Cricetulus griseus: one gene and its partner. The protein of the gene in region 2 purifies or fractionates together with the protein of the main gene of each other region. This does not show direct contact. Links are inferred from orthologs where the notes say so. Each region holds a gene or a part of one and is shown on either strand. Other genes may lie near its edges.

Region 1 (4,241 bases), on a different chromosome or scaffold from region 2:
GTGCCCTCTTCTGGCTTGCTTGCACTTAGAGACATAAGAACAGTAGAGATAGTCAGACCAGCAGTTCAAGGGTAGTCTGGAGAGGCTCCATTAAAAATAAAAGCAAATGATAATTAATAATAAAAATAATCATGATTCCTTCCTGTGAACCAGTTTTGTCTAATAGCCTGGGGACTCCAAAAGGGCAGATAGGATAGCTGATAACTCTGAGATATCTTTCATTGTCCGAATTCCAGGTCACACATCCGTAAAGGGACTCAACACAGGTGACAGAGGACAGTGTGGAGAATTCATAGCTTTAATAACAGATCGGTAAGGGGTGGGGATGCCAGTTTCTATATTGGTACTAGTCTCCAAAAGCTGACTTCCTTTGTCTAAGAGCTAGACAATGCCCGCTTAATTTCTGAACCCCAAAACTTAATTATTTTCTTCTCTTCGGACTTTCTTAAAGATAATCACATCTTCCTATTTTTAGTTCTTGCCTTTAAGAAATCCCAGCCCTTTAATGATTTGCTGCTCACAAGCACTCTCACAATCTCTAGATTTGTAGGAGTGATATCAGGTATGTGTGGAGTGGAGTAATGAGCTTTCTACCCATGGGACTGCGGAAACTCACGGTGAAGAGCTCCTACCACGGTCTGGAATGCAAAACCCAGAATTCTTCTTCTAGGATCAAGGCGTCCCTGACTGTAGCCCCATCTGGTTCTGGGTGAGTGTCATTGTCTCCGCTATCTCCCTGTCCCCACTGCTTCCTCTGGTCCATCTTAATGTTTTCTCACGCCAACCTCTACCCTCAAATCAGTCCCAAACTAGTCACAGGGTTGCTGGCCTACTTACTGAACGCAAAGCCACAGAACAAAGAGGCCTGAAAGAAGCTGGACTAGAAAGGTAGCTGGGGAGAGAGGAGGCCCTGCATCTGAGGGGAAAAGATGCAATTTCTCTAAATCCGGCAAGAAGACTCGGGCATCGTCCAGAGCTGTCTGAGCTGCCACAGTAAAGTTAGGGTCACCAGAGACTGAAACATCAAAGACGCAAGATTGGAAGTAGGCGTCTTCCACGGGAAGCCCTTCCTTACACAGCCTTCTGGCAGTGTCGATGGCTATAGCCCCTCGGCGACTGCGCTCTGAGCGAGAGAGTCGCTGACTGGGAGGGCAGCCGCCAACACACAGCTGTAGGTCCTGCTCAGCGGAGAAGGCCCGCGCCACGTCCTCGGCTACCCTGATGGAGAAGGAGAGCTGTCCAGCTGTCTGTCGAATGATTATAGTTGTCCCAATATAGGCAGCTCGGATCTCCACGTGGCTCCCAGGGTTAGCAGTTTGAATGGACAAACTCGAGCCCCCAGGTCGGTCACCTCCATTGATAGAACCGTCTTCAAAGGCTGCAGGAAGATTGTCCACCTCGGCCTGGTAGACTTTCTGGTCAATGCATTCCTGCATGTTCTTAAATATGATGGTAATCTGTGCGGGCAAAGAGGAAAATAGTTTATTAGGACTCAGTTTATCTTTCCCTCAATCAAGCAGCTTTTATTGTTAGGGATCTGATCCCAGCAGACGCAGGGTGTCTCCACGGCCCTTGATCCGGTCCCCTATTGCCTTCCAGTAATACCTGACCCCTATCCAACCCCTCATTCCTTTTTTTTTTTTTTTTCTCAATCTCAGCCAGGAAAATAAAGTGTCCCTTCTGACTCCTCAGTTCTCATAGCCTGGCTGCCACCCCAGCTTCTTCCTCAGTGTTACCTGCATTTTAAATAAAATCCCCATCAAGAGGAACTGATCTACAGGGGCAAATGTTTGATAAGAGGCAGCCATTCAAGATGGGCGGGACTATTTGGGGAAGACAAGGAACCAGGAGCTTGGTGGCTGAGGAGTGAGAACAAGGAGTGGTGTGCCCGGTGGACCGGGAGAGGATTTCAGAAGGTGGATTAGGAGGGAAATTGAATCCCTGACCTTCCGGGTGGTGGTAGCGTTGGCCCCCGATGCCACGGGGGAGCTGGTGGCCTGAACAAAAAGGAAGTCGTTATCCAGAAGGGGCCAAGCTCCTTGGACGCGGCATGTGTGAAAGTGGTGGTAGAAGCTGCGCACGTGGGGATCCCCGAACGAGGCGCAATGCAAGAAGCCCGGGGCCCGACCGTGCAGCCGGGAAAACCGGGCCTCGTAGTCACAGGGGTCTGGGGTCGGGGGTGCTGGGCCAGCTCCGGGAAGGGCGGGGCCCCGGGCCGGGGGCGGGGCCGTGGGGCCCTGGCGAGAGCAGTTGTGCTGGATCATCAGGTCCTCGATGCCGTGCACCGCTGAGTGGAAGGCGAGGTCCCCGCGGCACGTGCGGGCTGTGCGCCGAGTGCAGAGCGCATAGGAGCGCAGGGCGCGACACAAGCCACCCGAGGCCAGCCCACCACGGCCGCCTCCACGCTGCGTACCCGGTGAGCCCCCTTCCCGAAGGCTCAGAGTGGACGAGACGTACTCGGCATTGCAGCGGAGGATCTTGCACTGGGAGTGAGCTGAGGACGGAAGGGAGAGGAGGACAGTGAGACGGTGCCCAGACGTAGGTTCTAGCCAAGTCCAGAACGCGCCTAATTGCCAAAAGGCATCCTCCATCCCAGCTCTTCCTAGCACCCAGAGTGGGCGCTTTCCCAGTCCCAACCTTCAGCCCCCTCCTCCTCGCCTCCTTCCCTCTTTTTCTCTACTAAAAAGCGTGTAATCCAGTCGGACCTTTCCCCCTTACGGTCCAAGGACTCCATATGTGTCCTTCCTCCAGTTAAACGGGGAAACAAGACAGGCCTCTTTCAGAGTGACTGGGATTCAGCACCCCTTCGCCCTCACTCACTGATGCTGGCATGCCCACCCCTACCCGGCAGCCTACCATCTAGAGGTGCCCAACCCTTCCCTAACCCTTCCTTACCCTGTCCACAGAGGAGCAGCAGTAGAATGAGGGTGCTTAGAGTTGGGGGACCGCCATGGGGGAACCAGGGACTAAGAGGCTGGCCTCGATCCCCCATACCTATCCAGCCAGATCCCCCCAGGCGCGGGTTCTTCCCAGCTGATGAACCTCCTACCTAGTGAATTTCGACAGGCAGTTCTGTGACTGGAAAAAGAAATTTGACTGGGTGTGGGGAAAGAGAAGGGTTGAAGACGGGTCAAGATGGTGTGGAGAGAATCTGGGGAGATCAAGACAACAATTATACAGACTGGAGCTTGGGAAGCAGGAGGCTTCCAGATGGTGAGCTTGGCTAGTGAGCCTCTGAGCCCTGCTCCTGTGGCCACCTTCAGGTCCCTTGTGCAATACCCCTAGGTGGGGGTGGAGGGAAGGTTGAATGACCTCCGTGGGCAGAGTCCACAGTATTGCCTCATCCTGACTACCAAATAGCAGATTTGTCAGAAATGGAGGGATTCCTGGGGAAAGTGAGTTCCTGATCATTTCAGCGGGTTCTCCTGAAGCCTTGGGATCTGAAAATGCTTTAAAAACATACCTTTTATATGTAACTCCCAATCACGAGAGGCCGGCCACCTGCCATGTCTTTTTCTTCATTGTGTTAGAAGGGCACAAAGGGTAAATATCTTAGACAAGTGCCTTCTAGAATGTCATTTTTCCAGTGAAAAGGGAATCAGTCTCTTAGCCACCCTAGACGACTGGCATTATGATCCCTCTCTCATCACATAGGATACAAACCAAGCATTTAAATTAATATTTTTTTTCCTGAAGAACAACTCTTTCTATTATCCCCCGTGCACCCCCTCCAGCCTTTGCAAATCCTGAAGTTCCTGGTCTTTTAAGGGGGGCAGGTATTGGGGAGGATCTCTCTCCCTTTCTCCTGCCAAAATCCACTCTTTGGAGTAAGTCTATATATAATTGGGCAAGAGTCCTGCAAGGGGTCTTGAGTTAGAGGCTGGGAGTGTAACTCAGTGATAGGTGAGTGTTTACCATGCTCAAGGGTTCAGTTCCCAGCATTATCCCCCAACTCCCACTCCAAAGTCTCAGTGTAATAAAGTGCAGAGGGAAATAAGGGCCGGAGAAGAGGCAGCATTAAACTCCAAGTAGACATGGCTTGGAAACCAAAACAATGAGGCAGGAAGAGTGGCGGTGGGGTATTGGTAAGGAGAAATCCTAGTTTTCAGAACAGATGTCTGTAATTTTATGAAATTCTAGCCTCAACCCAACGCTTATCAAAGCAATTTCAGTTTCATCTGGACTTACTGTTTCCCGAGGTCAAACATGACTCTGATACCCGACTCTCCAGCCATAGTTGC
Region 2 (4,600 bases):
GAGAAGGAGTATGATTAGGGTACTGTGTCAGAAGTCTATAGGGCCCAGCCCCTCCTGCCCTTAGAGCTGAGGCTCTCACTAGGGTCCATTTGGGCTGGGACAACTCACCCAAGGGAGTAGATGGAACTGGAGTTGTAGTAAGCACCCAGGTGGGTGCTGGCAATCAGCTCTTTGAGCTGCGAGAAGGGAGACAAGGCCCTGGTTACCCTCCATGGTGGCATGGATACGGGCTTCCCAAGTGCCTTCCCGGTCTTTTTCTCTTTCCAGACTGACATGGGAGCCCAGGGTGAGGGCTCTCACTTGCCACTGTCACAGGCACAGACCTCACACCTTGTCCTCCATCCCAAAACCTCCCCTTGCCACACACAGTCTCATCCACACCCTGCAAAGACCCACTTCACCTTTGGGTCCCCCTTTCCTTCTCCCAGGGACTTCTGGTACGGCCAACCCACTCTGGGAGTTCAGATGGCCTGCTGTTAATGAGCAAGTTACAGCTGAGGGCAATGGAAGTGCTATCAGGAGGGCACACCTGGGACACCACCATGAAGCAGCCCACGCTGTCCCCTCTCTCATGGCTGAGGGGTGCCTGCAGCATGTCTACCTGCCCCCTGAATAATAGTCCCGTGCCTGCTGAGAGTGAAAGGGGCTAGCAGCCCACTGTCCCCAGTGCAATGGCCATTGCACTGTATGAGAGGGGCAGGGCCCTGACAATAAGAGCTGCACAGTTTCAATTTCCCTGCTGCACTCCTGGCAAGTGGCAAAATGAAGATTTCTGTCTAGTCAGTTGGATCCTGTGCATGACCCTTCCCACGGTAGCCAGGACAGGGTCTATCCCAGCAAGCACTCCCTGCAAAGTGACGGACAAACTCACCAGACTCTCTCACACATGCCCTTGCCCTCTCATCCTCCCACATTTCCCCCTCCTGCCTTCCTGTCCCTCCCTACCATCTTCTGGGCTTTGGCAGTTTCACTGCGGAAAGCACTGGACTCTCGTCGGGCCAGGTCCTGGGAGAAATGGCGGTTGAGCACCCGGAGGCTGCCAGAGTACACCTGGCTAATGGTCACTTCTGTCTTGTAACCTGGTCAGAAAGGAATGGGTTACCAAAGAAGCATGTCCAAAGGTTTCTTGCCTCTCTCACCTGTCATCCTCAGCACGTCCTCAGAGTCTTGTGCCTCCAAGGCAGCGCTGTTGGGACTCTGCTCTGTATCCCCATCTACCAAGTTAACAGGGATCTCCAAAGAGCATGCTAAGCATCTGCTGTGTTGGGAAAACTGGAAGCGGGGAGAGGGGTAAGTAGAGAAGGAGCTGCATGGCCAAAATGGATGCCTGCAGGCACGTAGACACAGGGAAGAGGGATTGTAGGTACTGGGGAGAGCTGTGTTCTGCACACTTGGGGTTAAAGGGAATCCTTGAACATCCAGGTAGAGAGACAGCAATAGAGCTGAGCTGGACAAGCAAATGTGGAAGTCACCAGGGAGAAAGGACATTTGATCACTAAAGATGCCAAGGAAAAGGGGGTGGAGGCAAAGAGGAGCATCTTCCTCGGCAGAGAATGCTGAGGAAGGGAGAATTGAGGTTGAAGGCACGGACATGGTCATGGCAAGGGAGACTGTGCTCCTGGCCCAATACAGTGAGGGACACATGGGTCCAAAATTCAATGATGAACATGATAGAGGCTAAAAGAGCAGGGGCTGTGGTGGAGCAGAGCCTGGCTCCACAGAGTATATGAGAATAGACATTCGATGGAGGTCTCCATACTACATAACACCTTCTAGGAATGCTGCAGCGAGAGAAAAAGCCCCAAGGAGATGTGGAGGAAGAAAGGGGTCCCATTGTGTGAGTAAGGTGGGTTGTGCTGGAATCTGGCTTTAGATGGCTCTTGGAGAGGGTGGGAGGCAGAGCCTGTATAATGTGAGGGCGGTGCCTGGCACTGGATGGGTGGGTGGATAACAGATAGATGGATTGATGGGTGGATGGCAGATGGATAGATGGATGTATATTTGAATTATGGATGGATGAATGGATTTATTGATGAATGATTGACAGATAACAGATGAATGGCTGAATGATTAGATGGTTGAGTTGCTGATGGATGGGTAGATGATGTATTGATGGATAAGCCAATGAGTGGATGGTGGATAGATGGATGGTTGATGAATGGATGGCAGATGGTTGGATGGACAATGAATGAATAGATGGATGAATGATTGGATGGATAAAAAGATGAGTGAATGGTTGTTGGATGGATGATGATAGATGGATCACCCATGGGGCTCCAAGGATTGCTTGAGGGCCATGATATTAGAGCCAAAGAGGCAAAGTCAGATATGAAGAAGAGGTTCCCAAGCCTGGGTACTGTCTAGTGGTCCCCTTGATTCTCCATGCTGAGTCCTGGAGACACAGAGGTGACGAAGCTATAGTCCTCTCCCCAGAGTAACACCTGGGGCTCAAATGAGCAGAGGCACTAATTGGTACCAGGTCCTGTGGGTGCCTCTGGGCCTCCTGCAGCAAAGCACATGGCTTTGAGCCCAAGGGATAGCCCAGGAGGGCTGTAGGTAAAGGATGGCATGCACACAGACCCTGGTTTATCCAGACCTAAGAATTGGGTGCTCAAGAGTCTTCCCTCCCCAGCTGAAGGAATCAGGGTGCTGACTAAGCCATTGGACTCACAAAGGTCCAGCAGTGTGCTCACCTGGAGGGACATGATGGAAGGTGAATTGAAAGGTAGGACACAGGGAGTAGAAAAGCACTGTAGAACCTGGAACACTGGTCCATCCTTTGTACCACCCCCACAGCCATGACAGTTGTCCCTACATCCACCCTGAACCCTCCCAGGATACCACTCCAATTGGGCCTCATTTCCCATTACCTAGGAAATACCAAAGCATGACTCCTGCTGAGGCCAAAGCAGCAAAGACCAGCAATAGTGGCGAGAAGCGGGTATAGTCCCGGGTTTTTCTCTTGCTGTTTTTGGGGGTCTTGAACATTCCCTCTGGATCAGCAGCTTCCTCTCCATCGCCTCCATCACCCTGCCCACCTACTTGGGGGACCTCAGCGGTGGGCATCCTGGTAGAACAAGGGAGATGGAAACATCTTGGCATCTGCAAGGGAAGCAAGGCCGCACCCCTACCCTTTTCGTGGAAGGGGCAGGGAATGAGGGTGGCTGCCGAGCAGCTCACAGACAGCAGAGGTGACCTCAGGGGGACATCCCAGAAGGCAGGCAGCAGGACTGGATGGTTTGACTCCCTATGGGTCCTGAGGCAACACCCACAAACGGATGGAAACATGAACACAGAGTTCTGCCACTCTCCCAGTGGCTTCCTTTCCATGTGGATCATGTGTTTTCCTCCTTGGATGTCCAACACAGTCCCCAGACTCCCTGAGCCTGGGCCCAGACTATTGCCCTGCAAGTTTCACTGGCCTTTGCTCTCTTCCTCTTTTCAAAATCTCCTGGAAGTGAGGAAGGCCACCAAAGTTCATGATCACTTCATTCCTTTGGGAGACATTTTGCACATCACTTTATTGAATCCACAGGTTGCCCAGGATATGAACCACTGTGGCCATGTGTTCTTCCCCAATCCTCCCTGTGCAAGTGCTCCATGTAAGCCTCTTGGGAAGTTGCACCCATTGGACAGATGAAGATAGTGAGATTCAGAGTGTCCTGGGAATAGCTCAGGCGAGGATTTGCCTAGCCTCAGTTTCCTGGTGTATTTGAATACCCAGGATTTACACAAACAAAAACCAATTGAGGCTCAGAGAGTCTGAGCCCTCTGGTTAAGATCACATAGCAGGATCTGAGTATCTGATTTTTCCCCCTACTCTGGCTGTCTCCTATAATTAGCAAGTCATAGTCAAATCACAATGGGAGGTCACCTTTCCTAGTTCCTTCTATCGCTCTACCTTAGATACTCCTAAGCAAACTTTGGACACGGAAGGACACTCCCCACCAACACCACAGCAAGGATTCTAGTTCACTGGGATATCACTTTCTCTCCTGTGTCACCTATAAATGTCACTGTGACCCCAAAATGCACCCCCAGAACATTTGTTGGTAGGAAGATTCACCTGGACTCTTGAAACAGCCTCCTAGCCGAGCTGCCTGCTTCTTGTCCCCTCCTCTGTCCCATCCTCCACATTGTCACCAGAAAGGTCTCCTGCCTGCTGCCCTCATCCCTGCTGTGAATTCCTCCATGGCTCCCAAATGCTGTGCCAGGGAATCCAAACCTGCTTACTCTCTTTTGTCATACATAACACCCTTCATCCAAGCCCATGAGACCCTACCCTAGTGTGGCCACACTGGAATTGGATGGAGTATGGGGACCCTTCCTATGCACTGTCTGGCAATGGGTTCAAGGGTTCAGGGTCCTTGGTTAATTAATCCATTCATCTCCTTGCACCCTGGGCCACCTTGGTTAAAATCAACATGCCTGGCTTTGGGCCTTGTTTCTCTCCAGCTGCCCTTTTAAAATAAGAGCTGGGACGGGCGAGATGGCTCACAGAGTAAAATGCTTGCTGGGCAAGTGTGAGGACCCACATTTGGATCCCCAGAACCTACATAAAAATGGGATGCAATAGCGGGCGTCTGTAGTCACAGCACTC

Evidence for each region.
Region 1: the proteins of Tmprss6 (region 2) and hemojuvelin purify together in Homo sapiens (co-immunoprecipitation; 3 studies listed by IntAct). This does not show direct contact. The link is inferred for Cricetulus griseus from reciprocal best matches to the Homo sapiens genes TMPRSS6 and HJV.

What each region holds. Positions count from the first base shown.
Region 1 is NW_023276806.1:59,966,505-59,970,745, forward strand, and holds hemojuvelin, read right to left. Parts: upstream 2,993-4,241; coding exon 2,896-2,992; intron 2,495-2,895; coding exon 1,947-2,494; intron 1,458-1,946; coding exon 834-1,457; 3' UTR 680-833; downstream 1-679. UniProt on the Homo sapiens protein: Acts as a bone morphogenetic protein (BMP) coreceptor. Through enhancement of BMP signaling regulates hepcidin (HAMP) expression and regulates iron homeostasis.
Region 2 is NC_048595.1:375,562,920-375,567,519, forward strand, and holds the start of Tmprss6 (transmembrane protease serine 6), read right to left. Parts: upstream 3,103-4,600; coding exon 2,871-3,102; intron 1,080-2,870; coding exon 946-1,079; intron 177-945; coding exon 109-176; intron 1-108. UniProt on the Homo sapiens protein: Membrane-bound serine protease. Through the cleavage of cell surface hemojuvelin (HJV), a regulator of the expression of the iron absorption-regulating hormone hepicidin/HAMP, plays a role in iron homeostasis.